2 linked regions of the Caenorhabditis elegans genome follow. The protein of the gene in region 1 purifies or fractionates together with the protein of each later gene. This does not show direct contact. Each region holds a gene or a part of one and is shown on either strand. Other genes may lie near its edges.

Evidence for each region.
Region 2: the proteins of F27D9.12 (region 1) and lbp-4 fractionate together in Caenorhabditis elegans (co-fractionation; one large-scale study listed by BioGRID). This does not show direct contact.

What each region holds. Positions count from the first base shown.
Region 1 is NC_003284.9:7,648,459-7,664,766, forward strand, and holds F27D9.12 (RING-type domain-containing protein), read right to left. Parts: upstream 8,518-16,308; 5' UTR 8,507-8,517; coding exon 8,380-8,506; intron 8,074-8,379; coding exon 7,958-8,073; 3' UTR 7,943-7,957; downstream 1-7,942. Other genes in the region: pcca-1 (Propionyl-CoA carboxylase alpha chain, mitochondrial), read right to left, coding at 9,347-9,505, 9,560-10,264, 10,320-10,607, 10,655-11,305, 12,047-12,246, 12,297-12,391, 12,444-12,520; dhs-29 (NADP-retinol dehydrogenase), read right to left, coding at 13,538-13,640, 13,683-13,855, 13,948-14,116, 14,600-14,778, 14,824-14,911, 14,962-15,068, 15,800-15,915, 15,962-16,085 and 1 more.
Region 2 is NC_003283.11:7,810,243-7,827,097, reverse strand, and holds lbp-4 (Fatty acid-binding protein homolog 4), read right to left. Parts: upstream 6,521-16,855; 5' UTR 6,512-6,520; coding exon 6,354-6,511; intron 6,098-6,353; coding exon 5,995-6,097; intron 5,944-5,994; coding exon 5,767-5,943; 3' UTR 5,621-5,766; downstream 1-5,620. Other genes in the region: ZK742.6 (uncharacterized protein), read left to right, coding at 12,249-12,281, 12,334-12,465; ZK742.4 (NADH:flavin oxidoreductase/NADH oxidase N-terminal domain-containing protein), read left to right, coding at 15,339-15,719, 15,768-16,434, 16,489-16,630, 16,678-16,825; xpo-1 (Importin N-terminal domain-containing protein), read right to left, coding at 13,230-13,461, 14,185-14,488.

The sequences.
Region 1 (16,308 bases):
CAGCTAGCTGGTCATCGCTTCGCGGAGAGGAAAGACGGTCGAGGTTCAGATACAGCAAATAGTATGTAACAGGCGGTGGTTTGAACGGCTGCCTGCCAAATTGAGAAGGCATACTGAACCGCGCGCGCCGCCGTCGGATTACACACCTTTATCTCACATATTACCTAGAGTGTCAGGCACCTGGAATTTACTATTCAAATTTGAATATTCAAAACTGTATGTAACGAATAACATGTCAAAGTGTGTCAAAGTGTACTTTATTTTCACAATCGAGGTGTCAAACTGTACACTTACAAAAGTAAATTAATTTGCATTTTTTGCTGAGAAGTATTATATAAGAATTTGAAAATTTAAAATTCATTTTGAATTTCCGAAACTTTCAGAATGAATTCAAACCTCATTGATTCCAAAAACACATGTGCAATAGTTTACTACATGCACACTTTGATCTAAAAAAAGACGATCTGAGTCCTTCAGATATTTTATTTTACATTTTGAAGACAGTAAAAATGCTACAAAAGCTGTTTTTGCAGAGTTTAACGGATTTTTGAAAAACCCTGAAAAAGTCTGGAAAGTTTTTAAAACCTACTTTTTTTTTGGAAACTTCAAAAGTCTGCAAAATGTAATTTCGGAGCAGTTTTCCGGATCTCGAAAAAAAGGAAAAAATCACACCTATTTTTTCTAGTTCAAAGTTCGTATAAAGTTATTTTTGGTAAATAATTCTGACTTTTTTCAGATGCATTACAATCGGATCTTCACGCCCTTGTGAAATATCAATTAGATCATCAGCTGCAAGTGGCAATCAGAGAGCATCAGAAATGCTCACTGCTGCAGAGAAACCAATAAAATTGTTAAATTTCATGGGTCAAAGAAACGCTAGCTGGACATATGAGCTCTTAGAATTCTCGTTTGACAGCTTTGATGGGAAAATCAGTTTAATGTTCAGAATTCTTGAGCAGCGATTTATTGAGAAGCAAAACAGGAGGAGCGGATGCAGTTCAGCAGCCAAAAAAGTGACCGCCAGGAAAAATAAGAGAAAAAATTGAACTTGGAGAGAGGTTAAAAAGAGGCGACAACCGATTTGGAGAGGGTTTAACTGAAGAGAGACGGAAGTTAACTGTAGTGATAAGAAAGCCTACCGGCGGTCAACAAACACGCCGAGACCGTCATCCTGCGCACCCTCCCCGAGTTGCGTGCTCTCGAAGTGGCCCCCCGGGAGCTGAACTCATCTAAGCGCGTCGAAAACAATCTCTAAATCTTAACAAACGCTTACCGTGTCGAGCTACTTGTCGGTCAAGTAGATTTGATCATCTTTTTTTCAAACCTATAATGGGCAATCAAATTTCTATACAGCTTAACAATAGTTGTAATTATGTAATTTTCAGCCAAACAGGGAGTTTTTTGGATAAAGTCAATCATATTGAGGGTGGAGTACTGTCAGTGGGAAAATGATTGAAGCATATTCATGTGATCCCAAAATGACAAAATATCATAATAAAACAAGTAATGTTCAAAAAAAAGTTTGAGGTTTTTTTTAATTTTGTGTTATAAAGTGATGAAAACTGATTTAACGCCACTTTTCGAGAAATCTAAAAAATGGGCGCCTGTTTGAACACCTACAGTGTTGTATTTTTCAGTTGGACCATAGAGGTGCAAGACTAATAGAGACTGCAAGGGTATTAGAGGAAATACGTAACGATTATTTTTTTGATCGACAACTCAAAAAAATAGTTGAAAACTGAGTTTTCCCTTTTTTTGACTCAAATATAAAAAAAAGGGACCAAAAAAGTTTTATTATAATATTTGGTCATTTTGGGAAATAGGAATGGCTTTTCATTCCTTTTCCAATGGCCGCACTCCATCTTCAAACTAAATTTAAAAATTGATAACTCATCACATCTACTTACAAACAGGTTTATTATATTTCTATAATTTCAGATTGCAGACAAAAAGGAAGACTGTTGAGAAATGAGTAAGTCAAATTAAAACGTGGGCAGACAGACATGTGATAAAAACCTAAGCAACTTGTCCCGCTGGCACTCAAGATGATAGCAGGAGAGGGGTAGAAACAAGATGAAGCTATCATAATTATTCTTTCACCCACCGAGCGTGTTTTGATAGAGCCCGTTTTTGTTTTCATCGGAAAAGTGTGTGCAGCAAAAAAAAACATAATCAAGCTGTTGCATAATAACAGCAACCTTTAAAAGAAAAATTCGAGGGTTTGACTGAAATAATTTAAAATTTTGACATAATTGGAAGATTATAAGAATGGAGTAAAAACGAAGCGACACTTGACAGATACATAATTTCTAGACAATGCACACCGACTATAGTGAAAATAATTGAAAATACAAAAGAGAAGAGAAAACAAGACGATGTAAAATTGAGAACTGAAGTTCATAGAAAAGAAAAAGGAAGGAGAATTGCAAAAAAAAGCAGAAAAAACAAAAAAGGTAGTGAAAAGAAAAGAGAGCCAAGTACGGTACCACTCAATTTTGCATTTAGTTGTAAAAGCATGACATTCGCAATCATTTTTTACAATACACCTAGGAATGGACACGATGGATGACTAAGAGATGACGTTCCTCTCTGGAAGTGAATGGAAAAGAAAACGGAAAGCGTTGCGGAAAGTTTTGAAACGTGTGTCATCTCGATTACGCAATATGCAAATGGATGTGCGTCTCCGTCCGCATGTGTGGCCCCGTTGGAAAACCGAGTGGACCCCGTGCTCTCCTTACTTCCCGGGCTTTTTCGCTCCCTTTTCCCGCCTCGATGACGAAGACGAAATGGCGGCGAAGTGACCAGCAGAACGCGAAAAGAGTGTGGACGCTCGCGGAGAGCCGCACGTGGGAGCGGCAAAGACGGGGGAAATTGTGCAAGACTCCCGCGAAACGCAGAGGCGTCCGGAGAGGAGAGGGCGGCAGAGTTGAGGAAGGCGGACGGGAGAAGAAGCAGGGCAAGAAGAACGAATGCGTTAGGGAAGCGGACGACGCGGTTGACGCCAGGCCGCGTCCCAGCGATAGGGGACGTCTGAGAGTGTTGCTCGAGACTCTCGATTCGCTGGCAATTAGTTGTGGACCACCGCCTTGAATAGTAGGGCGCGGAAGAGAGATGCAGACGTCGCACGCGGCGACCCTTCCGCAGAGTAGAGAGCCCCTACTGAACCATTAGACCACGCCCATTTCAAGAGAAAAGAGAAAGAGGAAACTTGCTGATCTCCTCTCTTTTTCTCATTCTCTTTCACGTCCATCCGCTTTGACGCAACGAGCAGAAGGAGCAATGGGAGATGCGGAAAGAAGGGAACAAATTTGTTACGCAATCACGAGCACTTTCATTTCTAGCGCAACCTCATTTCCTCTGAATAGGATGCGTCGACTTGTGGAATGGAGTAGAAAGTGATTTGGGAGAGTTGGTCGAGAAAATTATCTTCATTTCATTTCCCATTCAGACGCCTCGTAGCATTACAGAACTATGTCTGGATGGTACCAGGGAGGCACTGCAGGGAGGTTATGAAAACATTTTAAGGCATCGGCTCATCATCAAAAAGAACGGAGGAACGGGGAGGCACATGATTCATAAGTACCTCCTGTGAGCACATGAATAAAACAAAGTGAATTGTCAAACAAAAATGACGGACACTACTGTGGCGAAAACTCCGAAGTCTATACTTTCGATATTAGTCAGTTAGATATAATGAGAAAGGGATGAATATTTTCATTACAAAGTGCATAAGGAAAGCAAGGAGAGATTTTGCAAATGAACTTTATTTCGAACCTCCCCTTTGTTGCATAGTAACGCGCTTTGATGGAAAAATGGATAGAAAAATAATGAATTTTGCTTGGACTTTGCAAGCTTTTTCTCAAACAGATACACATTTGATATAATAATAACAAATATGAATGGAAATGAAAATGGCGAAATGAAGCATTTTCAAAACACTTCACATCAGAATTGATAAGAACTGGTCACTTATTCAAAAGCAGCTGATAACTTCCATTCCATGGTCAATGCGTTTCGATTTGGAACAAGCTGATAAGGGTAAAATTGGAGCTCTGAAATTGAAGAGAGAAAACTAGAAGTTTCCGTTCCTTGAAAGGTCAGTCAACTGACCAGTTGTTTTATCAGCATCTGTCTGTAAATTGTCAATACCCCCAAATATTTCTTGAACTGCGTTGAATGCTGATATGATTTAATTTCAAGTAAGATAGAACTAAAAAGGGCTACTTTTCTTTAAGGTCCGTCCCTTGCCATCCCATTTGTTTCTGGTCTATATTCATCTATTATGGAATGCTCGACTTGCGGAAAGGATTAAACGCAGGGCACTGACCATCAAATGCACGGATGCACATTTCAACTAGTCAACTCCCAGATTAGGAAAAGATTCAGCAAGATTATTTCAACCGCTTTGCAGTTTTCTCAGTGATAGAGCAGATGGATAGAATGCATCTCAAGTATGAACACTGATGTCTCATAAAGTGTACTTCAATCCGCTTCTTTATTTTAGATAGTCAAAAGAACGGATTATAGGTTAAACTCGCAAACTGTTTTGTTCTATGTCCAAGCTTCAGAACTCACCGAACGATTCAAATGATCAACAAACGTTCTTCCTTTCTCTCGCAACAGTCAACAGTTCTTTGTGTACTTTTGGTGCAAGGTAAGAAAAAAGTTTGGTGGCATTAGCTTGACGTGGAGGTTCGCTTTCTTTCTCTTTCTTCTCCAACTCCACCTTCTTCACCCAAATATTTGTCCATGTTCATAATAGCGGAAATGCTAGAGTCCTCCTTTTCAGGTTGCAGGGCATAGAGGAGAAGGGTGCGAAAGTTTGTTTTCGAATGGAACTTTGAACAAGTCGAAAGAGCATATTTCTGCAAGTTTCACCATTGCGCCTAAACTTTTCACACACCAAAATAGTTTGTTTTCTCCTAAACCACAGGGAAAATTATGGAAAGAGTTCATACAGGTAGTGTTTTTCTGAAAGTTTCCTGATTCAATGTTCACAGGTTAAAAAACGAGTTCAATTTTAGGTTGAAATGCGTTGCACAACAAGGAATAATATGTGGTTCCGCAAAGTTTCAGGGTTCTCGAGTTTTTTTTGAAAATTTCAATTTTTAAATAACTGAATCAAATTCATTTTTGTGGTTTCTTTTAAATTGCATCATTTGATCTCAGTTTACAAATTAAAACTAATTTTCATCTATGCCGTTTCCCTTTGCAAATGACTTCACCTCAGTTTTCACCTTTTATGTCAACATTTGAAATACAAGCAGAAATGCTAAAGTTATCAACATATTTAGTATAAGGACGCCATTTATTTTAGTTCTAAAAGTGACATCATTTAAACTTCCTAAGCTTCATCAGGCATTTGCGTTTTTGCTGAATGACATGGCCGAGGTTTTCATCCGGTGTAGCAATGTTGCGAAACCTTCTTGCTTCCGCCCCACTTTCCGCGAAGGTGTCAACTTTCCATTATATCTTCTAGAATTTCGTTTAACAATTCACGGGCTCTCTTACCACCTCGACCTTCTTGCACAATGGCGGCTAACAATTTCACCTCCTAGTGAGCACTCGCCATCATTTTGAGTGACGATCTTCTTAGGAACGCACACGCTCTTGAATTATAGACGGCAGAGGCTCGAGTGAATGGTCAGTCGTGTTTTCCGCAAGAGAGAGCGCCAGAGAAACGACGGCGTTTTTAGAAAAGCACGCGTATTTTTGAGGCAGCAAGGGGGAGTGAGACGAATTGATGAAGGAGCGCGGAAAAGCATTCAGCTTCAAATTCAGAGGGACCATTGAGAAGTCTCGAAAAGGACCGAGTATAGAGTGGTCAGTGCGTCCGAGACGGAGAGAAATCATGGAGAGGAGAGGGTCCCGTTTTCTCTTTCCTTCACGCTTTTTCTCTTTTTCCCGTCCATCTCGAATTGCCAATGGGACCTTTTCGTCTCGCCGAGTGACCACCCGTTGCGCCATCTCAAAATTGAACACACACTAACGAGAATTCAACAAGGGACGAACTGAGTGAACAGTGGCAAAATGATTCGTCCTAATTTTATTTTTAGTGACACATTCCTTCTCCCCCAAAATTTGGCACAAACTCTTTTGACGGAGCCTATTAGTGTTTAAATCATCAGTCATGCTAAAACGGGACAAGAATTTTGAATTTCGTCTTCCATTGCCGACGAGGGCGGGTCACCGCCATATGGAGAATAGGAGGGGGCACTGTGAATACGCAGTACGATTTGAAACGGTCAGGACAGAAAACATTATGCGGGTTATCACAATCAACAACATTCACGCGCGAATTGAATACTTATTTGTTTGGATTCAATCGTATGTGATAACAACAATACATGTAAAGGAAAAAGCACATTCACTTTTACAAGTGAGCTTTAAATAGTGTTTTCGAAAAGGGGAAACATTTATAAAACATTCTCAAACTGAAACATTAATTTTGATTGTTTGAAAAGTCTGATGAAGTTTGCTTTTTAAATTCAACATCCGAAAAAAAGAAACATAGCTTTCATGCCGAAACCTACTCAATTTGAAATGCATATATCATACGTGTCCGAGAGAGAACCGCGCGAGCTTTCTTCCTTTTTTGCATCCAATTTTGAATGTCGTTCTTGCTCACTATTCTTGTTCGTCGCCGATGGAACACATAATCCGTGTCTTCCGCTGCTTTTTTTCTGTTTTCCTCATTCACCTCACGTCGACCAACGTCCGACTAGCGGACACGCTGAATCGGGAGCATCAGCACAACAAAAAAGGAGTGGAGATGAAGATTCGTATAGCAAAAACATTGTAAGCGGACATCCGTTCATCGTTGAAGATTGAATGTGCGGGGGAGAAGAAGTGAACCTGTCACGTGTGCTAAAGGAAAATTGTCATTTTTGTAAAAGATGTTCGTCTTTTTTTTTCCTTAAAAACTCCAGGCAACGAGATGTTTGTTCTAAATTTCCTTCCTACAAAATCCAGAACTTCTCCATAAGAAATCAAGTCCCTGGAGCATTCATCTGCTCCGAGTTATGACCATTCATTGCGATATAAGTTTCTCGAGATTGAAACGCGATATTCCGCATGAGACTCTTTGGCAATTAATAAAAACGAAGCAGTGTGGACGTTCAAATCTTTATATTCTCTCATTTTTCGATACTATTTCAAATGAGGAGACGTCGTCCCCCCAATTTTCAGGGTTGCGCAACAGCGCGTGCTCAAGAATCTTTTCCGCGTGATGCCGCGCGTGAAAGAAAAGGGGAGACCTCCTTGCTCATTGACCACTGCTCAGAAATGTTGACGCCAGTTTGGCTTCGTTCCGCTGAACAGAATGAAAACGAAAGGCGATGGAAGGGTTGTGCAATAATCAATGTTTATTAAATTGCGTCGGCGAATTTCAACGCAGGCCCCCTTTGACCACAACATTTTCTTTTCAGCTGCCAGGAAAATGGATCAGCTGATGGAGAATAATGAATGATGAAAAGTTTCTTAGGGCTTACAAATTCCATAATGATAAAATGTTGAAATGTAAATAGTTAAAAAAAAACAAACATAAACAAATTATTACGTAATTTTTGATGTTAAAGTCTGAAATATATAGCTGAAAGTTTACAAAGGTGGTACCTTCGTTCATGGTACCGCCTCCTACAACAACAAAAATCCTTTTGGGCTCCGACAATAGTTTTATGTTTCTGACTAGTACGAAACAACTTGAATGGAACAGACGTTCACGAGAACTTCAATTTTGGGAGTTCTGATTTAGTAATGCAAGGATAATATGTGAAAGAAGAACTCCCTACGATTTTGAATACGATATTTAGCTCAAAATAGTTTCAACAAAGTCCACCGTTTAGCTTTTCTCTTCAAGTATAGAATTCCACGTGACAGAAAAATCTGTATTATTGTATTAAAACAGTGATACACAGAAGATGCACATATAAGAACACATTTTCATTTTCAATTACAGTCAATTCATTCTATTAGCTTCAATATTCACCCTGCTCCTCAAATCTTTGAAGATGCGCTCAATCTCGTATATTGTCACGTTGCAAATCAAACAATTGGTTCGTCGAGCAATTAATACTGAAAACAAAACAAGCATTCATCATATAAAACAATTTGGGTTAGAGTGTAGAACATACTGAGTCATGACAAAACCCTTTTCATTTGTTGATCCTATTTTCATCTTTAAAAAAATAACAAGACTAAATACTATAATACAACAAACTTCTCTTTTTAATTTGAAATCAATTTAACACATATTGGAAAGGGACGGGTCTCACCCACTTTTTCGAAAAAGTTAGATTTAAACTGTTTAAAACTTCAACTAGCACTTCGTTTTATTGATAATCAAGCTTCAACTCAAAAAAAAATCAAATCTATACTTACAATAAAAACATGCAACACAATTGTGTTCGCATGATGGTGGGCTCCTCCGTTCATGCATAAATTCAAGGCAGGCTGTGCAACAGTTCTCTTCCCCGTCTTCGTATCTACTTATACCGATACTAGACATCTTACAGATCTGAAAGTGCTACAAGTAAGTTTTATTAAAATATTGACATTATTTATTTTCTCAACTAGAAGTTAACAGAATTTAACAATATCAGTGTGACACTACTCACACGAAACCAAAAAACGTGAGTTAAAATGAGATTGAAAAGAACAGAAAACGGCAAAAAAAACTGGAAGAAAAATTCTTCTTTTTCTTCTTCCCATCATTTTCTGTTTCATCTTCTCGTCTCAACTCGTCTTTTTGTCAATTTTCTTTCAGAATAATCAATTGGCACTGCTATTCAATATTTTGAAATTGAGATACATGAAAGAAGAACATAAAAAAGAGAAATCTGAAATTTTTAAAACAGATTTGCAAACTGACAAGTTTTTTCACAACGCTTATTTCCGAGCTTCAATTATGGACTATGGTAAAATGTTTAGTTTACACAAGCTATTTCACAAAAAATAGAAAATTTAATCAACAAAACATCTGCACTTATGTTATGTAGAAACAGAATAGATATATAATTTTCTAATTGAAAAGTTCAAAAAATGAGCAAATGCTTTTTTTTCTTCATATAACAACCTTTTTGCAATGCCTTCTACAATATTTATTCACTACATAATACTTGGGGCAACAAAACAGGGTGGTGGCTGAGAAATACGTCCGTGATGATTGGAATACAACAGGTGAGGGTAATGGCATCAAAAATAAAATATAAATATGGCTTGAAATTTGAGAAACTGCGAATGAAATTATCAATCTCCATACCAGATAGTGGCGGCTTTGAATTGTACAAAATTAGGAAAAAAACGGTAATTAAAACAACAAAAAAAATTCAGGTTCAGTGAGAATAATCTACTCGAGCTCAACGAGCACCTCTCCCTCGTCGACTGTGGCTCCAACCTTCACATTGACGGCCTTGACGCGTCCGGTCTTTCCAGCATGAAGACTGTTCTGCATCTTCATAGCCTCCATGACAACTAACTCTTGTCCCTCGGAAACCATATCTCCTGGCTGTAAATTGAATCAGTTTTAGCACATCTAATGGTAGTGATAAAATAATGTTACCTTAACGTTGACGTTCTTGATTGCTCCTGGCATTGGTGAGAGCACAACTGTGGACAAGTCAACCTTGGCCTTCTCCTTCATGTACTGCAAGTACTTGACGGCCTGCTCTGGAAGCACCTTGACCTTGAATGGAGTTCCCTTGTAAAGAACGGTGATCTCTCCGGCGCGCTTGCCAACAATTTGGGTGGTGATGTGCTCTCCATCGACTTCAATTGAGTTGACTGGATGAGACAAGTTGAGATCTCCACTGATAGTCACAGTCTTTCCACCAATACGAACTTGGGCCTTGTTGGCGCTTCCTTCGACAAATTCGACTTCAACAGCGTGCTCGGTTGGCCTCTCACCCTCCTTCACTGGCAGAGAAGACACGAACTTGTAGGTCTTCGAGAAGGAAGCCACATGAGTGCTACGTTGTTTGTTCTGGTTCAAGAATTGATTGGCACGAGCAAGTTTACGAGCGTTGAGAGCCGAGGCAAAGGCAATGACAACGTCTTGCTCTTTTGGTGAGAGGCTGGTTCCCTGGAAGCCTTCTGGGTACACTTCTGGAAGATATTTGGTGGTAATGTCTCCAGTACGGAATCTCTTCTCTTGGACAATATCACGAAGAAGTGGAATGTTGTGAGTGACTCCACGAATGACGTAGTTGTCGAGAGCCTCTTGCATGCGGTTCAGAGCCTGTTCACGGTTGTCTCCGTGCGTAACGAGCTGAAATTACAAAGTAAGTCACTTGAAATTATCTAAATGCTAATTTATCCTTTACCTTGCAGATAAGTGGATCGTAGTAGATAGAGATTTCCGATCCCTCACGGATTCCAGAGTCGCAACGAACTCCGTCGACGTGTTTTGGCTCAACATATCTGGAGAGACGTCCGACTGATGGAAGACCGAATCCCTTGTATGGATCCTCGGCGTAGACACGAGACTCGAAAGCCCATCCGTTGAGTGGCACTTGCTCTTGGGTGATTGGAAGTGGGTGACCGTAGGAAACGCGAAGCATCTGTTGGACAATATCGATTCCAGTGATGCACTCGGTAATTGGATGCTCGACCTGTGAGTATTTAAAAATTAAACATTTAGGCCATACTGAGATATTACCTGAAGACGAGTGTTCATCTCCAAGAAGTAGAAGTTTCTCTGAGAATCAACGAGGAATTCGACGGTTCCAGCAGAGTCATAACCGACAGCCTTGGCGAGCTGAACGGCCTGTTCTCCCATTTTGCGTCTCATCTCTGGTGGCACAAAGCTGCTTGGAGCCTCTTCGATAACCTTCTGGTTTCTTCTCTGAATGGAGCATTCACGCTCGTTGAGCCACAAAGCGTTTCCATGCTTGTCGCAGAGCACCTGCATCTCAATGTGCCGTGGGTTGTCAATGAACTTCTCAACGAGCATTCGATCATCTCCGAAAGAAGAAGCTGCTTCTTGCTTGGACAAACGGTATCCTTCACGAGCTTGCTTGTCGTTCCAGGCAACTCGCATTCCTTTTCCACCACCACCGGCAGAAGCCTTGATCATGACTGGGTATCCAATGTCGCGGGAGACTTTCACGCACATATCCTCATCAGCAATTTCTCCGTCATATCCTGGAATCATGCTGACACGGGCTGCGGTAGCGATTTTCTTTGAATGAATCTTGTCTCCCATATCAAGAATAGCCTTAGAGTTTGGTCCGATGAACTTGGCTCCAGCCTTCTCAAGCTCGGCGGCAAACTTGGTGTTCTCGGAAAGGAATCCATATCCTGGATGAACCTGCAAATATATGTTTTCAACGTTTTTAGCAGTTCTGTTTGAAAAACATAACAGAAGACACTTGCAATCTATCTCTCGTCATTTGACTTTGACTATTTGAAAATGAAACACGCGAGATGCTAGAGACTGGAAAGAGACCACTTGGTCACTTGTCACAGAATTTTTGTTTTGTTGTGTTTCGTAGTGAAAGTAGGTGAATATCACGTGCATATTACAAGTAACTGGTTTCTAATATATTACGGTAAATCTTAAGCTGCTACACAGCCAAAAGCTCTCGCTCGGGTTGTCAAACTGTTTGACCCTAGCTTGTCCTCTGAAAAATGCGGTAATTCGTGCTTTTCATAATTTGACCTCACCACAGTTTTCAACAGGCCATAAGAGGGAACTCTAGAGCTTCATCACTTCAAACCCTCATATCTCAGCCAGGTGATATGAGCATGAAAAAATTGAGCATTATCAAAATGTAGGGAATGTTTTATTTCACATTTTTTCAGTCAGCAACTTTTTTAAGCTATTCTCTCCGTTTGAAGTTAAGCGCGAACGCTCTGACTTCTTGAACAGTAGTAGTTGATTTGGAGCGGTGTTCTGAACTTTTGCAAAAACTCTATTCTCTGTCGGATGTCTGGGTAATATGTTTGTGCTACTGTGCATGTAGATTCATGCCACAGAATTTACATTCTCCTCTGATATTTGATTTTTGCGGTTTATCCTTCCATTACATAGACACGTTAGAATTCTTACCGCTTGAGCACCGGTGTCCTCGACAGCTTGCAAGATGCGGTCAGCACGTAGGTAGGATTTGGCAGTTGGAGCTTCTCCAACACATACAGCCTCATCGGCCATCTTTACGTGAAGCGAGTTGCTGTCGACATCTGAGTGAACGGCCACTGTCTTGATTCCCATAGCTCTGGCAGTTTTGATCACGCGACACGCAATCTCTCCTGTAAAATAGACGATTAAATCTAAGATTCTTTTAGATGCTTGAGATTACCTCTATTGGCAATCAAAATCTTGTCGAACTTTGGCTCATTGTAATCGATTCCTACAGTAGTGTAAATCTCCTTTCCCTCACGTTCATCAAGTGGTCTGAAATTGAACCTATTGATCTCAAAACCGAATACAACTTTCAGAAACTTACACTCCTGGTCTGGCAACAGCAGCAGTTGCCAATCCACGATTGGCCACAGCGCGGATACTGGATGCAGCACGGAGCATGGTTCAACCTAAAAACAATGATTTTCATGATAAAATGAACAACGACATCAGCAGTTCACAAAAGAAAAAAGTAAGATGATGGAGAAAAACAGTTTCGTGTATAACTTCGATGGAGAAAGATAAGGACGACCGATTTGATTTGGTCAGTTAAGTGATAAACAGCGATGCCTTGAAAACTCTCTTTATATTGATTATGAAGGAAAACTTCGACTAGTAGAAAAAATAAGAAAAACATGCAGAAATGGCAACTGAGCAACGAAGTAAATAGCCTGGCCAGAAAAGAGAAAAGCAAGAAGTGCGGTGCCCTTGTCCCGCAACAAGATTTTCACAAAAGTTGTCTATCTCTCTTTTCTGATGGACCCAAAGCGCAGTTGCCCCGCTCTCTCTCTTTGCCCATTTCTTGCGATTTTGCACGTATTCGTCCTCTGAACACACACACGCAGAGAAACCGAGAAAATCACCGGGATAGGTTGAGAGTTGGAAAGACGACCTCACAATGTTACAATGAAGAACTTCGAATATAATTCATAGTCCAGTCTGCACGTTTTCTATAATTTTTGAACCGAGAGTCCTACAAAAACTAATAATTTTACAAAAAACGTGTATGCGTGAAACGGAAAATCTAAAGACTCACACAGTAAGTACACTCAATACACAAAAAAAAACGGCAAAATCACCAAAAACAGGGAAGAAAAAAGCCGACCTTCTCTGGCAACAGCGAAGGCAAGAATGACCTGCTCATTGACCACTACATGATCAATAAAACAACAAAAAACAGTCCAATAATGCGCGGGGTTGTCCAAGATATCTCACACAGCAACCTCAACGGAGCGCGTTTGCAGTGATCTTCTCTGCGTCTTTGCACACACTGGCCTTTCTCTCGACATGTTGTTTATTTGAGAATGTTTCGTTGAGTTTCTTCATTTTATTTGATAATAAATGGTCGTTCATTGCATTGGCAAAAAAAAACAAAATTAATACATTTTAGGAACTATCAGACACATTTTCAACTACTAGTCAATTATTCTTCCTCTGCTTGGCTTCGTATCGACTGAGAATAGAGAGTGACGGGAAACCAAGAATAAACGTTTGGACAACCCATTTTGCGGTAGAAGCAAAACTGAAAATACAATTTGTTATAAAATCAACTGAAAAAGTTCACCTGATATTGGCTTTATGGCAGAGATAAAGAGCGTAAAGAGCTTCACCGGCGTGTGCTACAAGGGCGAAAAGGTTGGTTAAAAGAGCAACAAATGGATACTCAGTTCCAATCTTATGGACGAGAGATCCAATTAATGGAATATTAAGTGCTGCTGCTGGATGGGCGTAAGAAATCTAAAAATCAAAGATATAGATCGAAGTGGAAGCTTTGAAATATCTATTTTTATCAAACATAGTTTTTTTTCACTTGAAACCTTAAAACTTACGTAGTTGATAGCCAGAGCTGGAACAATGAGGAGCCACCAGAAGAGTTGTGGAGTTTTGTAATAGTCCGACATTTCAATAAGTGTCAGTTTGCAAAATGATGGATCTGAAGCGGAATACTTAACACCCAAATAATTACGAAGCGACCGGCACACTTGAAGAGAGCAGAAACTGAAATAAAAAATTAGATTTTATCATGTTATCATTAGTTGGCTATATTCTACATAGTGTACGAGAATCAAAAAGTAAGTGGAGATGAATAGTTGGTTTCTTTTTTTTTTGATTCTCTCAAACGATAGAAGAAGGGGTGTCTTCGTGTAATAGAGGAGATACTATCTGAATCAATAAGGACACCAATGGTGACCTCAATAATAGAGCGTGTAAAGACAAACTAGACGCAGACAGAAAAACAATTCGGGCAGCTCTTTTTGCGAATACGAAAAGTTGTACAGTTCTCAAAAAAATAATAATAAGACGCGAAAACAGGGCATTGATTTTTAATTTTTCGCCATTTTAATAAGTAGCACATGAATATTGACACTTAAAAAGTACTTTAATTATTTTTAAATATGCCGATTTCATCTACAATTCAAAACAAATGTTCTTAATAAAAATTCACCATGGAAACCAAAATAACGAAACCGAGAAACTTACTTTTTCACAAAAGGGATGAGTGTGATGTACGAGGGAACAAAAGCGTGCACTTTTTCTTTCAAAATAGAATCTACCATTCTTTTCGAGCAAGACCGAATGCTCATGAACGGGAACCATGTACATGTAGGTCTCATATTATTTTCCAAAATCATTGGGGTTCTTGCAAAATATGGGTAGAGCTGAAAACGAGAATATCTCTAGCCAATAATTTAGCAACAACCAACCGTAGTTGTTTTGATACCCTCTAATCCGCGATCTCTGAGCTCCATTTGTAAGGATTCCATAGCTCCGCGAACCGCAAATTTGCTAGTGCTGAAGTAACTGTTAAAGTTTAAAACAAAAACTTTGGAACATTAAATTACCAGTAAGAAAGTCCCATCGTTTCACCAGACCACCCAGCAATTGAGCAAACGCAAACAATGTGTCCGTCGTTCTTGGTTTCCATTTTTGGGAGGAAAGCTCGAATTGTCTGATACGATAAAAATTAAAAATAGAAAACACGTGGTACTAATTCAGTGTCCGTACCAAATTTTATAAAAAACCAAACTTCGACTCCAAACATGTTCTGATACGTAAATGTTTTTCAACGAGTACAAAGAATAATATCTTGATTTGTTTATTGAAGTATGTTTTGAAACACAAATAAAGTTCAATTAAACTCATTTGGTCTGTCGAAAATATATATTTTTTTTGTTTTTCAATTTTTTAAGTTCTCAAAAAAAATTTTTTGACTAGTTTTAAGTTTTAGGAAAGTTTTAGGAAGTTCAAATAATAAACATAGAACAAACGGATTAAAGTTATTAAATGTTTGCTTTAATTGACTGAAAATACCCCGAAAAAACTGACACTAAATTTGCTACGTCTAAAAAACTTTCGGACATATCAGAGTCATGTTGAAGCGTTTAAAATGACTAATATTATAAAAGCACAAGAACGTGTTTATTGAAAAAAAAAAAACTGAATCTGAGCTCATTCGATACTTCTTTGTTATTTTGATTTACCATAAAAAATTTAGGTTTTTTAGCATCCTTGTTATGAAACTTTGCGTTTCATGCCAGAAAAACAATTTTGCTTTAATACTGCTCCTTAAAACAATATCGATTTCATTTTTTGTTATTTTCTCACCATATTTTTAAAATGCTAACTATAAGTATTGATACTTTGTTTATATTTTAAAATTTTCATCTTAAGCAAACTTACATTAATTGTACCAAAAATGTTAACGTCAAGACACTTTCTGAGCAGCTCATCCGAAATCTCCATGAATGATGTGAAGGATAAGATTGCAGCATTACAGATCACAATATTAACGTCACCTAAATCTAATCTTCCTCAAATGCCTCATTTTTAATTTAAAAATACCAAATGTGTCTTCAATTTCTTTTGCCGTCTTTTTCATATTGTCCACATCACTTATATCGCAATACCAAAACTTGGCCATATTCCCCTCTGCCGCAATGGTTTTCACCGTCTCCAGCCCTCCTTCCTTAATGTTTTATTCAAAACGGTGAATCATTTTTGGCATTCATACCTTGTTCACGTCAATTATAGCAACTTTTGCTTTTCTCTTGGCAAAATCCAAGGCCATCGCTCGACCCAGACCAGATCCTCCTCCTGTAATTATGACGGTCTGCCCTTGTACACTCTGTAAAATATGAGTTTTGAGTTTTGATTTTGCGTTCAATGAATTGATGATGAAGATGAAAATG
Region 2 (16,855 bases), on another chromosome or scaffold:
CCGAGTAAATTGCCCAAAATTTGATGAAGAACACAATTTTTCCCGATGAATGGCGCACACTTTGGCTCCACCTACTTGCTCTCTGCTGCCACTGCTAAAGTGTAACAAAAAAGAGAACTGGAGATGATAGTGAGGGGTCAAATGTCGAGTCAACGCAACTAATGTTTAGATTTGATAGCGAAAAACTATTTGAAAGGTCCCAAACGGTGAGAGTTAAAAGAGACGCAGACAGATAGAGAAGGTCATTTGTGATAACTTTTTGAATACGATAAGGAAATGAACAGAGAACAAAAATGTCTGGAAAACGATCGAGTTCGGTTCAAATGAACAAATTGGGAACGATGACACGACTGAACATGGTCCATCTGAAGCTTCGTGACAAGAGGGGTGGAGCCGCCAGATGTTGGGAGCCCCCAACCGAAGCTCCGCCTCCTGAATGAGTCACTGAGCGCTTCTTCTTCATCTTCTTCTGAAGGTTTCGAGATACGGGGAGGAAAAAAGATTTATGCGTTTGGTTAGAAGAGACAGGCCGTAAGGTCAACTATCTCTCTCCTTCTACCCGCCAGACGTGTGTCTTCTTTGTTGCTGCACGGAGACACTGCTCCAAAGACTCTACCAGAGTTTAGGGCAAAGTTTTGAGTGGGAGATGAAGGGGATAAAAAGCAAATGAGCTTTCTTTAGTTTCGGTGCCAAGTCCGTTGCTGCAAGGTCTTCGGGAAAGAAAGTTTGGAAAATGTGTGCAAGTAATTGTCTTGAAATTTTTTCCTGAAAATCAACTAATTGTTGTTATTTAATGTCGTTTAAACCGTCGGTGAAGCTGTTTGCTTCAAAAATTTTGAAGATCTAGATGATCTCACTTGATGGCGGAGTAGGGCCAGTGTAGTAATGATCTTACATCTCCAAATCGGATTCACTTCAAACCTTCAAAAATTTAGTCAGTTTAAACATGTTTTGGTTTTCACCACAAGCAATTCTAAACTTTTCTATCCGGAACAACATTCGGAAAGATCAGAGAGATATCAGCAAAAATGATTTTTGATTGACATATCGTGGTCCTGCCACTCCTATCAGCTTGACCACGGCGGATCAGATTTCAAAATGTTGTGTTCGATTTGTTTCGATGTATCAATGCATCTGAGTGCAAAGATTGGTTTTGACCTCAACATTTCTCATGCTGAACATTTTTGTCTAACTACAAATCCCAAAAGTGACCTTGCAACACTACTGTATCGAGACATAAACTCGCAAATGTTTATTCTTCCAGAAACTTTTTGTGTGCAGTTGTGTTTTGATTATGAAAGGAAGTTGGCAATAGTTTCTGCAAATAGCTGCTAATTTGTGGTGTTTTGTATATAAACATTGAAATTTGATCTCATTGGATGGGCTTGCTCAATGAATTGTTAAGATTGATTTGACGGAAGAGATAGCATATCAAAAATCAGTTGGAGTTTCTCTGGTTTTTTTGGATTTAGAAACTGGGAAGAGTCATCTGGATATAATTTGTTGAGGATGGAATTTCAAAAGAGAAGAGTTTTGAAATAGATAAACAAACAAATAAAAATGAAATTATAAGATTGTTTGAAAGTTTCAGAAAACATAGTTAGAGTTTTTTTTACACATTTACCCATTTCAAATTCGAAATAACTTTTTGCAAGTCCACCTAAGGTATAAAAAATTTCAAGTGCCCGAAAGAGGCGTGGTTCGTATTATATTCAAGAAAATTAATTATAATTATGATATCGTGTTTTGAAACATTTATCAAATTGCTTTCTTTTCAATCGAAAAAAAGCGCGCGAAAAGATGTTTTGAGAATTTTTAAAATTTTTTAGATATACTTTTTTCGAAATTTTAAGCAAAACTGCTTTTGTACTCATATAGTGCGTGTATTATTATCAAGCTAATTTTTTAATTCATAGGGAAATTATTTTTGTCGACTTTCAATATGTTGATTTTCAAGAGCATAGTTTTTGGCAATTTTCTAATCAAAAATCAAAAAAAAAATCACAATTCTTGAAAGTTAAACCTTAAAAATAGATATTTTGAGATTGTTTGGAAAAGACAAAGACAACCATTTTCTGTACCAAATAATTAAGTTTCAAATCGATTCGAGAACCTACTTTTTGCAATGCAACTTCTGTGATCTGATTGCCCTCTGTGGTTTTTTTGTTTGAAAAAAAAAAAAAACTGTTGCCAATCTCATCGCGGTCATAATGTCGTTTATAAATTTGAAATTTCTTGGAAGTTTAGCTGTAAAATACATGTGACATCATTTCTGTAGACCAAATATAGAAACTGAACGCTTGATCTATAGTGCACAATGAGCACCTGCTCACATCCCATTTCACTTTATGAATTTCAATCGTACTGTTTTTTTTAGTTTCAAAATGGTACAACGACCAGCTGCGTTGCTCGCTTAAACGAAATCGTATCGTCGAATTTTGGCGACAAAAAAGTTGCACACATCTGCCACGATGACCCCGCAGCTGCGATTCGTGCTAGTACCCGGTTTTTAATTATTAGATAAAAATTAATCAAACTGAGTGGCGCGGGCGGATAAGTGTAACACTTCAAGCGTGCCAGATCGACTGAAAAAAACGGTCCGAAACTTCAATTAATCATTCTGAAGCCTTCTTCTCACATCTTGGTTTTGCTGTAAAGTGCATACACAAACACACACGTTGTCATATAGTTTGTTGTGATGCTCCTCATCTGTTCTCTTTCTTCTATTTTCTCTAATGCTCATCCACATTCAAAAGAATAAACACAAAAAGAGGGTCAGTGGGGGTCGTATTGCAGCTCCGAATAGTTTATAGCGGTTTTTGTGGCGTTCTGGGAAACATGAGAGACCGTGCTCCGTCGTAAAACTTTTAGAGCTTTCGTGTGCCCAGATGGTGTTGAGCGGCTTGCGGCAATAAAATGTGAGATCGGAGGTCTTTCAAATGTTGCCGATTAGATAGGAATTTTTTTTTCGGCCGGGGTTCTTGTAACTTTGTCGTTTCTAGAGTGGACCGTGTTGAAGATTTAGATTTAGATTTTTCCTGAAAGTGAAGAACGTCTCTTTGAAGACTATAGGAAAATTATCAGCAGTGGCAGAAACTACTTGCCCAAATTAGGCCCGAAAAATATAAACTTCTTTCGGAAATTTGAAATGCTTTGATTTGAAAAGGCAACACTTTATTTAGATCGCGATTTACTTCTTGAACATCTTTTTGGCAAAAAATTTGATTTTTGATTCTTAAAAAAATTAATCATGAATAAATCACAAATCAAATTTCACCGTTCTCACAACATGTTGAATCGTTTTTACCAAAACTTCAATTTGTTTATGTTTATTTTCACCTGATTAAATTTCTTTCAACACGTACAGGGATAAGGAAAGAAGATCAAACTAGAGCTATGATTAAAAAAAAGTCTTGCCCAACTATTGTTCAAGTTTTCCAACTTCTAAATCTGGTAAAAAAATAGTTATTGAGCCACATTAGGAAATAAAGTAACTAAATCTTGTAGTCCTAATACATGCATATCTAGGGTTGCGTAAAACCAGTTGAAAGAAGCAAACTTGGAAAATGAGGCACAAAAATGACCAGAAAAAATCTCTAAAAGTTTTCTGAAAATTCTTTCGAGTAACTGCGAAGTCTTGTAGGAATTGGAGCCCTGAAGCTAATATGCATTTGAACAGAAGTGGAGATAATAGTTAGCTTTAAAAATTGCAAAGATGAACCTACCGATGTAGTATGTTTTTCCAAATAATATTTAAAAACCATTAATTTATTTTAGCTACAGTTTTTTTTTCCTAGATTTTTTGTTCACTATTTTGATGCTTTTTACATTGAATATCTAGATGTTTATTGAAACAATTATAGAAATTTCGACAAAATCGAGCGTACGGTATCTGAAAATTGTCTCTCGTTCTAGGACCTGGAAAAATTGTTTTTTTTTGCAACCAGGCGATAAATGCAACCTATAAAGTAAAAACCGGATAAAACCGGATGATCAGAGGAAATTTTCCAAATTGTTCTACGAAATCTTCTGAAAGATCAAAGAATTCTTCAGCACTACTCACACATATGTTTTGAAATCAAAACCGCCATCAATCGCATTTATCAAAAAGTGTCACAACAGCAAGAGCACATTCGAATGAGCATTTCAATGAGTTACACGTGTCATTTCGTCTCTTCTTGCTCTTCACATCAGCAGCTATCACTTTTCCAATCACATTCCAACGTGGCGGAATGATGAGTCAGTGTGAATGAAGTAGATGAAGACAGATACCAGAGGAGCAACAAGAGAGATCGCAATTATTTATGGAGGTGACAGGCGCGAGCAGGCGGCCCAAAATCCCCTCACCAACCTTTCGCAGATTAATGAGGAAGGAGAGGATGGAAAGAAGTTGTAAGTCTCCTCTCGTCCGCCAGAAGGATGGACTTTCTTTTTGCAACACAGGGCCACTTGGTGTCTTTGGATGCCACACAAAGTCGACAATTCATCGAAAAATAGAAACACAAAAAAAGTGAGAGGGAGGGGGGTCATTGGCGTCTTGAGATTGTTCCAGAAGACTTTTGTTGATTTAAAATAAACAAACGAAAAATCGGTGGTTCAGAAAATTTGATCAATAATCCTGCCGGAGAAATTCTGAAATACTCTGATAAACTGAAAATGGTTGTTTTCAAATTTGTGACCTTTAAAAACCCGGAAACCTTCAAGAAAATATAGAAATATGGTCGAGGTCCTGCGACGACCGATACTTTCTACCGTAGGCGCGAATACGGTAGATTTTCTTGATAATTTTCGTCATTGAATTATCGATTTTTTGTGTTTCTAGGTAAATATTGTACGTGGTTTTTATATTTTGTTAATAAATTTAAAATTTTCAAATACCATAATATATTGACAAAACTCTGAAAATATTCTGAAAATATTCTTATGCCCAGAAATTGTGTGATTTTGTGTCAAAAAAGGTACGCGGTCTCGACACGGCTAATTTTTGTAAAATGTGAAGAGTACTGTAATTCCTAAACATTTATTTAAGCGGAATTTGTACCGATTTTTCATAATTTTTCACTCATCATATGATGATATTATTATATTTCAGTATTTGATAAGTAAATAAATAACTATTTTATCGAAAAACTATTAAAAATCGATGAAAATTCCGTAGCAACAAGTTCGAAATTACAGTACTCTTCGAAGGCGCACATCTTTTTGGATTTAACAAAAATATTTCGTGCCTAGACCGGGTACCGTATTCTAGCTTTTTAAAAAAATTTAAATTCGCAATATTTTCGTCAAGGACGTTTTTCTGCGAACTTTTGCCGTGATTAATTATTTCAAAAACAGATAATGTTCTGATTTTGATTATTTTCTATATTTTTTGTTCAATTTCGTTTTTCAAGTGTAATCAGAATTGTGTTCCGAGTGTAACCACAGTTGACCGGGTCAACACAAAAAGTGCGCGCATCTCACATCGTAAAGCCTGTCTGGCGATCGGAGACGGCTGGCACTTTGCCAGAAAAGTTGATCCGTTTGTTGCGGTAAACATTCAAGAACACGCCACATTCAATTTCAATGACATCATTTCTGAACATCTGCTTTTTAAAGTGTTGAGTGCAAAACCACAGAAGGAACAGCTGAAACTTTTCATCAAAAACTTAAACAATTATGCAAACCCTCAATGTAAAATTAACAAAAAAGGCACAGCAATAAATAATCACAATAATATAAATAAGGTTTAACTATTAACAGAGAAGCATCAAATCAACATTCAGATCACTTCTGCTCGACTCTCTTGAACCAACGGCGACAGACGATTCCATTATTCTCCATTCTCATCACCAGTTGATTTTGATCGTCGATAGTGTAGAAATAAGTCTCTGCGCTGGTTTCTGGTTCATTCAGGCGAATATGATGCTCCGAAAGGATTTCATCTTTGAAGTCGAAAGTGATCTGAAATTGGAAATTGTTTTAATTAATTATTTAAATAATTTTCGTTCTCACCTCATGTTGATTTCCATCCAATCCAGGAGCTTCGAATTTTTTTCCAAGTTCCCATGCCTGATAGTTGGTGTTCTTTTTTGAAGTTAGATTTTCCATGTTGTACCTGGAATAGGCAAGATGAACTGAATGTTTTCGTGGTCTCTAGACGAAAACATGAAAAATTTATGACAAAGATTTCCTCCACCACTTGGAAATGCCAAAGAAGCATGTGACATATTTATTTTAAAAATTTCACGTATTTCCAATTTTAGAGTTGACAGTTGTAAATTCTAAAAATTAAAAATTTCGTTAAAAAAGTTTTTCACCAGATAAAAAGTTATGGTTATTTTCAGTTAAAAAAAATTATTAATTGAACTCACTTCCCAGCTTCTTGATTTTGTGAGATAATTTTAGTGAGTCCAGCCAACTTGATCATTTGCCGTACGAACCAGTTGACACCTTTCGAGGAGAGAAATTCATCAAAATTCTCGCTTTTATCGAGCTGATAACGGCCAAAGAACTTGTCTGGCACTGACATTTTCCTTTTCTGAAAACTTTTTTAATGATGCAAATTAAATAAACGGGGAAAAAATTGAAATAAATGAAAGAACGAATTAAATTGAACGGTAACAATAATTAGGTGTCGGTGGAGCGCGATTGCGTCTGTATTAAGTCACCACAGACTAATGGAAAATAGATTCCGAGGAAACATATTTGTGAAAATTTTATAAGTGAAAATAAAGTTCAGGTCAATTTTGAAATGGAACTAACGATTTTAGAAAAGAAAAATCGCCATTTCCCTTTCTTAAGTCAACTGTTCTGTATTTTTCTTAATTTAGCGTTCGTGCCAAGACCATAAAATGCGACCCATTTAAACTATTATTAGTAGAAGATGAAAATAAACTGCAAAATAAAAAATATACTTGCAAATGAACTAGATAATGAAAAGTTCAGCTGAAATTCCAGATTTATATTCCCAAAAAAATCTCCATTTCCACATGCCACATTCGTTTCATGTCTTATTTATTCACGAGTATGCGTTTTTGTTTTCCTGTGGGCACTCAATAAACACGGAAAATCAACGAAAAACAGAGGTATAATCGAAGTTGACACGTAGGAGCTCGCTTGGCACCTCGCCAAATATTCTCTCCGTTTTTCCGTCATTCATTTGCTTATTTTGGCGCCTTTTTTCCTACTTTCCGCTTCTATTTGCCCATTTTTCAGCTGCAAAAATTAAGATGGGATGAATGTTATGAGGCGAGAGCCATAGAAAAGCCGCCTTTAGTGCAAACACACATACATACTTTAATCAGATTGGTCAGACTTTTCGAAATGATCAAATGCCGAAAAAGCAGAGACGCAGATAGGCGGGGCGGAGCTATTCACAACTTTTCGGGTTTTCTTTTTCTTTGAGCTCCCTCATTTCAGGAAGATGAAAAGAGCATCTCTTGTGTTTGAAGATTTTATGTTTTGCTGCCTTGTTTTATTTTAAAGATCACGCGAACTCAAAATAATTTGTGCGAACGCTGTGTTGCAAAAATATTTACGAAAATCGCTATTGTTGAGCAATAATATAAATATCGTATTTCCTCTATTAGTATTGCACTCTACTACTCAACTTTGAAACGTTATAACTCAATTCTTTCAAAAGATGTAGTATATATTATTAACTACGAAATGACAGAAAAAGATCTAACAAATATTTTGTTAGTTGACAATTTTTGAATAGAACAAACAATAACTGATATTTAAGTTGTCAAAGTTGAACAATGGGATGCAATACAAATAGAGGAAATACGATATTTAAACTAGTAACTTTGTTTTTTAAATAAAATTTTAAATAATCGAGAAAGTTTGCTCTAATTCCCGCGCTGCCCTAACAAAATGGAAAGATTCATAGAATATATAATTCCACTCACTGATCTTCTTCCCTACTTCACAGAAGCTAGTTAGTAAAGCATGAAGATATCAAATTTCATTTCCATAACAAGTTTTTCGAGAAGCAAGCGAAGACTGCATAAACTTTTAGTTTTGTAGTCGTTATGTTTTATGACGTGTATTGCCACGTGATTTCTTTTCAGTTTAAAACTGTATTGCTCCTTTTATGTTCGGATAGAATTTTTAGTACCAAGGCGTAGCCTAGAAGAAAAAAAAAGAAAATTCGGCCACCCTAAAAATTCTCAAAAATGAGTTTTTTTCTCCGTTTTCCCAATGCTGAAAAAAGTAATTGTTTCCAAAATCCCTTTTCAGACTTTTCATAAGGCTTAATTTCTTCAGAATTTCAGTACTTTTGAAAAAACCAAGTACGGTTAATTAGAAAATTAACAAAAGTTCTTACTTTAAGAGACTGTCGAGGTTTCTCATTTCCAATAATTTCTCCTTGTAAAAAATTGTATACTTCCTGATTTGGTAATTGAAATATTCAATATTATAACAAATTTCCTACGTTCACCCCAAAAAACAAAAAATAATAATTTCAGTTGTTTTTCTCATATTCATCATTAATATTTTCCATTCATTCATCGCTTTTTCTCTTTTTTCTTCTTCTCAATTTCTTCCCCACGGATGGGGCATTTATGAAGTAGATGTCGTTTGACAAAAACACGGAAAACTCTTCTTTTTTCTTTTCCAATATCTCTTTTGCTTTGAAATTTCGAATTTTTTGGTATTTGTCACTCAACACATAAAATATTCACTTCTTTGGAATTTTAGATGAAAGCTCACTGGCTTAGTGAGAACAATGGGACACCGTTTAGTTGAAAAAGAAAACTCTGCTCTGATCTATTAGGTTGCTGTTTTTTTTTCAGGAAATACATCAAATTTTGGCGCGAAAGTTTGAAACTTGTACCTTGGAAATGATCTGGTATTTTCAAATTTTTGCTAAATATCAAAAAGAAAAGTGTACCCGGAAGAGAAAAGTTCTTCGAAACATTGATGTAATTTTTAAAGGGCTTCTTGGGATTTAATTATAGGAACAATTTTGGATGAAAAAAAACTAGAATTTTGTAAACTTCTAAAAAGATCAAAAAATTGCTAGAATTATTTTTATAAGTAACGGCATTCAATTTTTTTTAAAAAGCTAAACTTGCAACTTGTTAATAAACTGAATTTGTGAAGTTTTTCAACGTAATAATTTAAAAAAAGGAAACACAAGTCTGTTTAGAGCTCGGTCGTTGATTTTTTTTGCAAGTAGATAAAGGCTAAAATTCAAAAAAATATTACTAAATTTTTACAACGTGATGGCCAAAAATTGAATTTGTTTATTGAAATTTGGGCATGTTTAGTATGAAATTGTTTCACAAAAAAACACAAATAAAAACACACAAAAAATCTTGGTGATTTTCAAACTTTTCAGTTAAACTTTTTTTTTTTTAATTCGATTTTAAAAAAATGCTCAAAATACGGGGCACTAGTCGGAATAGAAATATAGCTACATTAACATTATTTTGTGATATCAATCTAAACAAAAAAGTTGAGTGGTATTTGTTTCGTAGAAGGCAGTTTAAAAAATAATAAATGAAGCACATAGAAAGTTAATACCACTCGAATTTTTCAGTCAAAGTTTTGGCAACATGCCAGTTTTTCAAAAATTTTGGACTTTTTGGTTAATTTGGTTAATTTGGTTAGGTGGTGGTTTTGGTTAGGACTAATGTAGCTTGGGAGTCCTAGAATATCTTAATATAAACAATTAAAATGCAACAAGAATTAAAACTTGTAGAAATGTTTTTTTTTCAAAATTATTATTGTTGAAACCTAGTAAGTATGTACCTCTTTCTTTCTACAAATTTGAAAAATTAAAAAAAAAATGTTGAAACGTTTTCCCGAGATTGTTATTATAAGAATAAGAAGAATATAGGAGTGGTTTTAAACAATTTCCCCACTTACTCTACTTGAGCTTTGAAAAGTTGTAGCTTTCTTACTGAAAGTAAATGAAACATTGTAACATTTCTATAGTTCTAAACTAGGCAAATTTGCGGAATTTGCCGAGCTCTGCCAATTTTGAGATTTGCCGTACACTCCTGTTCTAAACTTTTGCCATGAAAACCAATGATGTCAGTACCTTAAATTTGTTTTTTGCGCTTGATATTGTTCTTTATTGGCACTTATGATGAATAAAGGAGCAATATTGTTTTTTTGGTTTAAAGGTACATATTATATCTTCTCAATTGTTTTCATTTAAGAGCTCATCCCAACTAAAAGCATCCGAACAATAAATTATTTTGGCTATAAAAGTGCATCAATTTTCGAAACGTTTTTCTATTTTCTTATTTTGAATACCAATTAAATGCCGGCCAAAATGAAATTCAATTTAATTGTATATGAAGATACATTGAAAGTTAAATGTGTTCCAAATGACGCAGTCTCTCATTCATTCACTAACAAAGAGCTTCTTCTTCGCGACATTAGGTTTCTCCAATTGACCCTTCTAATTCAATTTGATGGTCCAAACGAAAGCTTCGGGACCCTCTCGCCTTTTTGCTCAACTTATCTTGGCTCTGAATCTCACTCGTCACTCTTTTTCACAACAGACATATTTATTTCCTTTTGTCGCTGAATGTCTACGTTTTTTGAGACGCTCTATAATTTTTTGTCGAGATTTTCAAAAGGAAAGAAATTCGGGAGACAAGTACAAATTACCGAGAGCTCGTGTCTCTTTGGACCTAGATTTTTGAATCAGATTGCATTTTTTTGGCAAACTTTTGGTTTCTTGTTCTAAAGCTTTGTGTTTTAAACCAAAGTTTTTAGTGAAGAAAAAATCTGGAAATTTTGGTGAGATGGGAGAAAACGCATCCTAGAATCGGCAGGTCTATATTTTTGTCCAGTTTGCGGGGCAATTCAAATTCTGAAGCAATTTCAACCAGGATTTTCACACAATTAACGGAATTTCCACACACTTAAACATTTTTTTTTTGTGATTTGACTCTTGGGTAGAAACTGCCGTTAGACTAATTTTTTGTCGACGAATTCGACGAATTCGACGAATTGGAAATTTGCCGGTTCGCAGATTTACCGGAAAGTGTCCTTTACGGCAAATTGCCGATTTGCCGTTTTCCGGATATCAATTTGCTGGAAATGTTTAGAGGGATTTTTTATAAGACAGAAACACTTAAAACTGTGCCTTTTTGAAACTTTTTTTCCCGTTTTATTCATATATTTTCATAGAATTTGCTTCCTTTTTAAAATAGATCTAGAGACATTCAAAGGATGCGTACAATTTTGCGGTTTAAAATTGAAATCCTGAAATTTCCAGAAAAATGTGCGAAACCATATTGCGAATTAGCCAAAAATAATTTGTCGGATTGCCGGAAATTTTCAATTCCGCCAATTTGCCGATTTGCCGGAAAAATAGTTTGCCGCACACACCCATGATTTGACTATTTCTCGGCCATGTAGCAAATGCCAATCTAAAATGATTGTGGCCTAAATAACGTGGCCCAAATATGCCACTTTTAAATAATATAAACCCACAAAGCTTTTTCTTTGAATTTCTGTGAAAGATTCTAAAAAATCGGTGGCCGAGTCTTTTTTTTTCTAGGCCACGTCCAACTAAAATTTCTAAAGTTCATATATATATTCAAAGCAGAAACTCTGGAAATAAATTAGTCAAAATCAGAATTCTTTGCCAAGATCTTTTGTTTTGTTGATGTAGTAGTCTCTGCATCGAATTTCATATTTATTTTTATATTTCTTTCAATCTTTTCCTCTGTGTCTCAAGCACAAATTCGTCCGCTTCAATTTTAATTCTTTGGAAAATGTCGGAAACTTCTTTGGAAAATGTCGAAAAATTGGAAAATGTCGGAAACGTGCAAAAATTGAAATGACGAATAAACAAATGGTTGCCTAATTTTAAATGAATGCATAACCCAAAAAATATATAATCGTGGCCTAGAATACCAAAATGTGAAAAATAGGTTAATTAGGCTAATTTTCTCATGTCCTGCAGGCTTTCTCTATTCACAAATAATCATTAGCTTAATTTTTCTCATTCAGATTCGAATCGATTCCCAGCCAAAATAACTTGTACACTTTGTGTCGATTTACGAAAAATATGTTTTATGCCGTATTTTTGACTCCGCCCACAAAAGAGGCGGGTCTGTCACGAACACGCCCATTTTGTGGGCGAGCCTTTTGTCAAGAATTCAAAACCTTCGTTCCCACATTTTTCAATAATTCCACGCTTCTCAACAATTTTCGAGTGCTCTTTTCTTTGTGACGTCATTGAAATGCTTATGTTTCCAGCAGTTCTACCAACCATCATTTTCTTCATGTTCTGAATGCAGGACATGACAAAGCCCGCAGATCCAAAGGTATCCCTCTACTGAGTTAATTAATCATTAACCTATTCTATATAATTTCCAGGATCCACGACGGCCTCCAAAAGTAGTCATCACACAGCCGTCATCGAATGATCTGATGCCCCGTGTCTCTATCGATACAATTGATTCGTATCATCGAGAGGTTTCCAAGTCAAAATGCTGCACAATTTTATAAGCTCCTCATACTTATTTGTATCATTGTTCAACAAAATTCGCATGTATGTTCACATAGAGAACTGTATTTGCTGGTGGTGGGGGTAAAATAAAAATGTATGATAAAATAATAAAGAATAATTGAATGAATCAATGAACAACAAGAATGATGAATTGAGGAAGAGTGACAATTGACAGAAGGATTCAAAAAAATTGGGTCCGGCAATTACAAAAAATAAGAGTAATGAACATGTTCAAATTTTTGAAGAAATTTGAAAATTTGCCAAAATGGTTCACAGAGAAAAATAGGGGGCGCACGGATGAATACAGAAATTATGATAAATGATGAATGGAAGTAGGTCCAGAGAAGATTCCAGTTATCAAGTAGTGGGAGAGAAAGGGGTTCCGAGATCCGGTTGAGGGGAGCTACACAGTAACTGGTAGAGAAATAAAATAGAAAATAGAGACCAGATTCCAAAAAAAACTGGGCACCTAGCTCGTTGAGATTAGGGAGGAAAGAGAACCTTGGGAAAGGAAAAGGTACGGGATATTTAATCGGGATCGCGGAGATGGGGAAGAAAATGGAATCATTGTCCGAACAGAAGATAAATAGAGCAATCGTATGCAGGTCTTGGACCAAAATAAATTGATCTTCTGGATAGAGTGATTCAGATAAACAAATAGTGTGAAAATTCAGGAAAAGTGGATAAACTAGATTTGAAAAAAAGTATAGTGATATGTTGGCGAGTTTAGGATTTCGATTGAAAATAAACCAGGTCACACCACTTAACGCATATCCTCATCTTCCACCTCGTCAGGTTTCAGAATTCCAGGAACATCTCGTTTGCGCTGTTGAGCTTGTTGAATCTCAGCTTCTCGCTCTTCAAGATACAAATCCGACGTGTCTTCTCCGTTGTGCTCCTTGATTTGAATCAAAAAGTCGCGGAGATGATTGCGCATACTGGAGATTTCAGTGTTGAACGAGAAGAATCCCTTGATGATAATGCGAATTTGATCTCTGAAAGACGAACGTTGTTATGCTGTCACTAAAAATTTTTTTTCAACATTCTGAATTTTACAAAAAACAACAAATTTTTTTTCGAATTTTGTTCCTTCTCCCGACTAAAAATCAACATTTTTGCAATACAGTTTTTTCTCTGAAAAAAAAACCAAAAAATTCATTTTTGCTAAAAAAAAAAACTAAAAAACGACAACCCTGATTAGGACTGTAGATTTTTCGATTTTTTATTTTGTTTTCTTTCATATTTTTGGTGAAAAATTCTGATCTACTGTAAAATGTATAATTATTTTTTGAATATTTCAAAAAATCGTACTCGAAATTTAAGAAGTGCAATTTTGGCCAAAATATTTAAGTTTTTCAAAATAACTTTGCGAACAAATTTTGTTTTACGTTTTATATTTTGTTTTTGGAGAAAAATTTTCGCTTTCGAAAAAAAAATTCGGATTAAGCCCTGATGCTGATCAGGGCTGGGACTTTTCGGTATTTTGACAAAAATGGTTTTTTTTTGGTTTTTTGGACAAAAAACAAATTTTTTTTCAGTTTTTTAGTTTTTTAAAAATAAATTCAAGCATCAATTTTTCGTTTTTCGCAAAATTAATTTTTTTGTTTTTGGTCAAAAATTATTTTTTTGATCCCAGCCTGATGCTGATATATATGAGTTTTGGTTTTGCAAAAAATGGTTATTCATTATTGAAATTTCGAAACTATTTTCAAACTTACTGGTTCATATTATCAAAATGAGCTTGGAAGTTTCCTCCGATGTGCTCATAAATGTAATCAATATTCGGCTGCGAAGGATTCGCATCGTTCAGCGGAACTTTGATCGAAAACTCTGGAGCACGGAATAACGCGCACAACACTTCGGCGTAGTAGGTCAAACCGGCTACATGAACTTGAGAACTGTCACAGGCAACTGCTAACACGTGTTTCAGAAGATCAATGTAGTAACGCTTGTAGAATGGTTGAGCGATCTTGTCATCCTGCTCCGAGACACGAGCCAGTAATTCTTTGAGAATGTCGAGACCTGAAAAAAGAAAACTATAAGTTTGAAACTAGTTCTTCTAAGAATTTTTGACTTGAAGATGAAAATTCAATTTGTACATTTCAAAATTTTTGTTGCGACGCGCTAAGTCTATTAGGAGGTACTTTCACTTTCATTTAAGACATAGTAAATTGAAAACAGGCCATTTTCTCATCCAAGATGCAACACTGGCAGTCGATTGGAAACATTTTTCTTCTAATTTTATTTTTATGTTCCTCTATTCTATTTATTACAAAAAATTATGATTAATTTTTTTTGTTGCAAAACCTTAAATTTAGTCAAGAGATTCCCAGTGTTTCATCGCAAAAAAAAACTGTAAATTTCAACAAAAAGTACGGTTATACAAAATTAATGTCTGAAAATTCGTTATGAGCATGGAAACGTATGTTTTCTAGTTTCTATCTTGTAGCTCAAAACTAAATGACAAATAGACCAGCAGGCGGAAGAAAACAATGCCAAAACACGAAAAATCACAATCGTTTTGTCATCATTGATCGTAAAGATGTACTTGGGTTACTTTTTGATTCCTTTAGTAACTATTTTCTTGTCTTACACCCATCGTTGATCTCTCCGCCTGCATGGGCCCTCAAAGTACATTGTGTGTTGTAGGGTTGTTTACCCAATAGCCGCGAAAATGATGACTTTGGGCGACCCCCTCCTCCCGTTCGTACGTTATGTCTATATCTCTATATATAAAAGACCTCTACGTTTTGTCAAGTTCCAAACTCATTTTGCTGGCTTCTATTTGCTTTTTCTTCGCTCGAATTGAAATTTAAACTTTGTTAATAAATATATAATTTTTTTTCAGTATCATTAACTCTCAACTTCAAAAATGCCGCATCAACGTCTCGTTGCCGACTGTGTGGATATCAAACCCCTCACAGAGCACATTCATTTCCGTAATGGCCGAGTTGCTTTGAACCGTCTCATGAAGTCTCCAATGTCGGAAAAGATTTACAACTGGGAGGATCCAAACGAGACAAAACGTGGAGTTCCAAACTCTGGCCTTGTCCACTTGTACGAGAAATGGGGATTCGGTGGATTTGGTATTGTTTTCACTGGAAATCTCGTTATTGATCCAAGACATCCATACGAAGCTGGACAGGGAATTGTTTCAAAGGAAAATGATACTCCAGTAATGAGAGATTGGTATGCAAAGATGGCGAGAGCAATGAAGGCAAATCATGCACTGGCAATTGCTCAACTTAATCATGTAAGTTCAAAAACCGAGATCTGGATTTAAAAATGAAATGAATTACAGCCAGGAGCGTGGGCTTTCACTGAATACACCGATGGGAGTGGCAAAAAGCACATCATCAGTGATGGAGCTCTTGATATTCTGAATGCTCCGAAAAGCGTTGTGAAGTCTGAATTGATCGATCGTGTTGTCTATGCTGCAAAGCTTCTCTCAAACTGTGGATTCGATGGTATCGAAATTAATACTGCATTTGGCAATCTCTTCTGTCAATTTCTGCTCAACAACAACAAGAGAACTGATGAATATGGTGGAGCCGTTCTAGTAACTCGTACTCAATTCCACATCGATTTATACAACGCCATTAGAAGAGAAGTTCCAGCTGCCAGTGGTTTCCTAATTGGCCTGAAGCTGAACTCTGCCGATTACCAGAACACCTTCACCAACGATGAAGTCGGTCGTCTTTGTGAGATCTTCGACGAGACTGGTTACGACTTTGTTGAATTGACTGGAGGTCAAATGGAACAATGTGTTGAAGAGGCTCAACAAAGAGCAAGCACTATCGCGCGTGAAAATTATTTCCTTCAATTTATCGAGACTGCTGCAAGATCAATGAGAAAGACTGTTGTCTATATTACTGGAGGTTGGCAAACTGCATCAGCGATGGTCAATGCTGTGAAGCTCAACGTTACACAAGGAATAGGTTTTGCTCGAGCTGCTGCTGGTGAGCCAGGTAAGACCTAGTTATCGAATTAATATATTTCCAATATACAAACTTGTTTTTCAGATTTGCCTCGTAAATTGCTAAGTGGCGTAGCACATTCCACTTTGGACAATAAATTCTCTCCAGCTGATTACTTCACTTCCAAACATGCTGCCCACTTTCAGATGAAAACAATGGCTGCACGATCGATAAATGATGTCGTCAGGTATGAAAATGAACGAATATTGACAATCAGAAAAACAATTTTTCTAGATCCACGGACGGAGTTCCCGATTTTACTGACGAGGAGGAAGCAAGCCATTTTGCACAAAAAGCTGGTGAATACATGAAATTCGTGGCTGCTGATGGAAAGCCAGATACATTTGCAGAGGTCATCAAATACACACCACTTCATTCCTAAATTGTATTTACGTGCTCATTGAAAGAATAA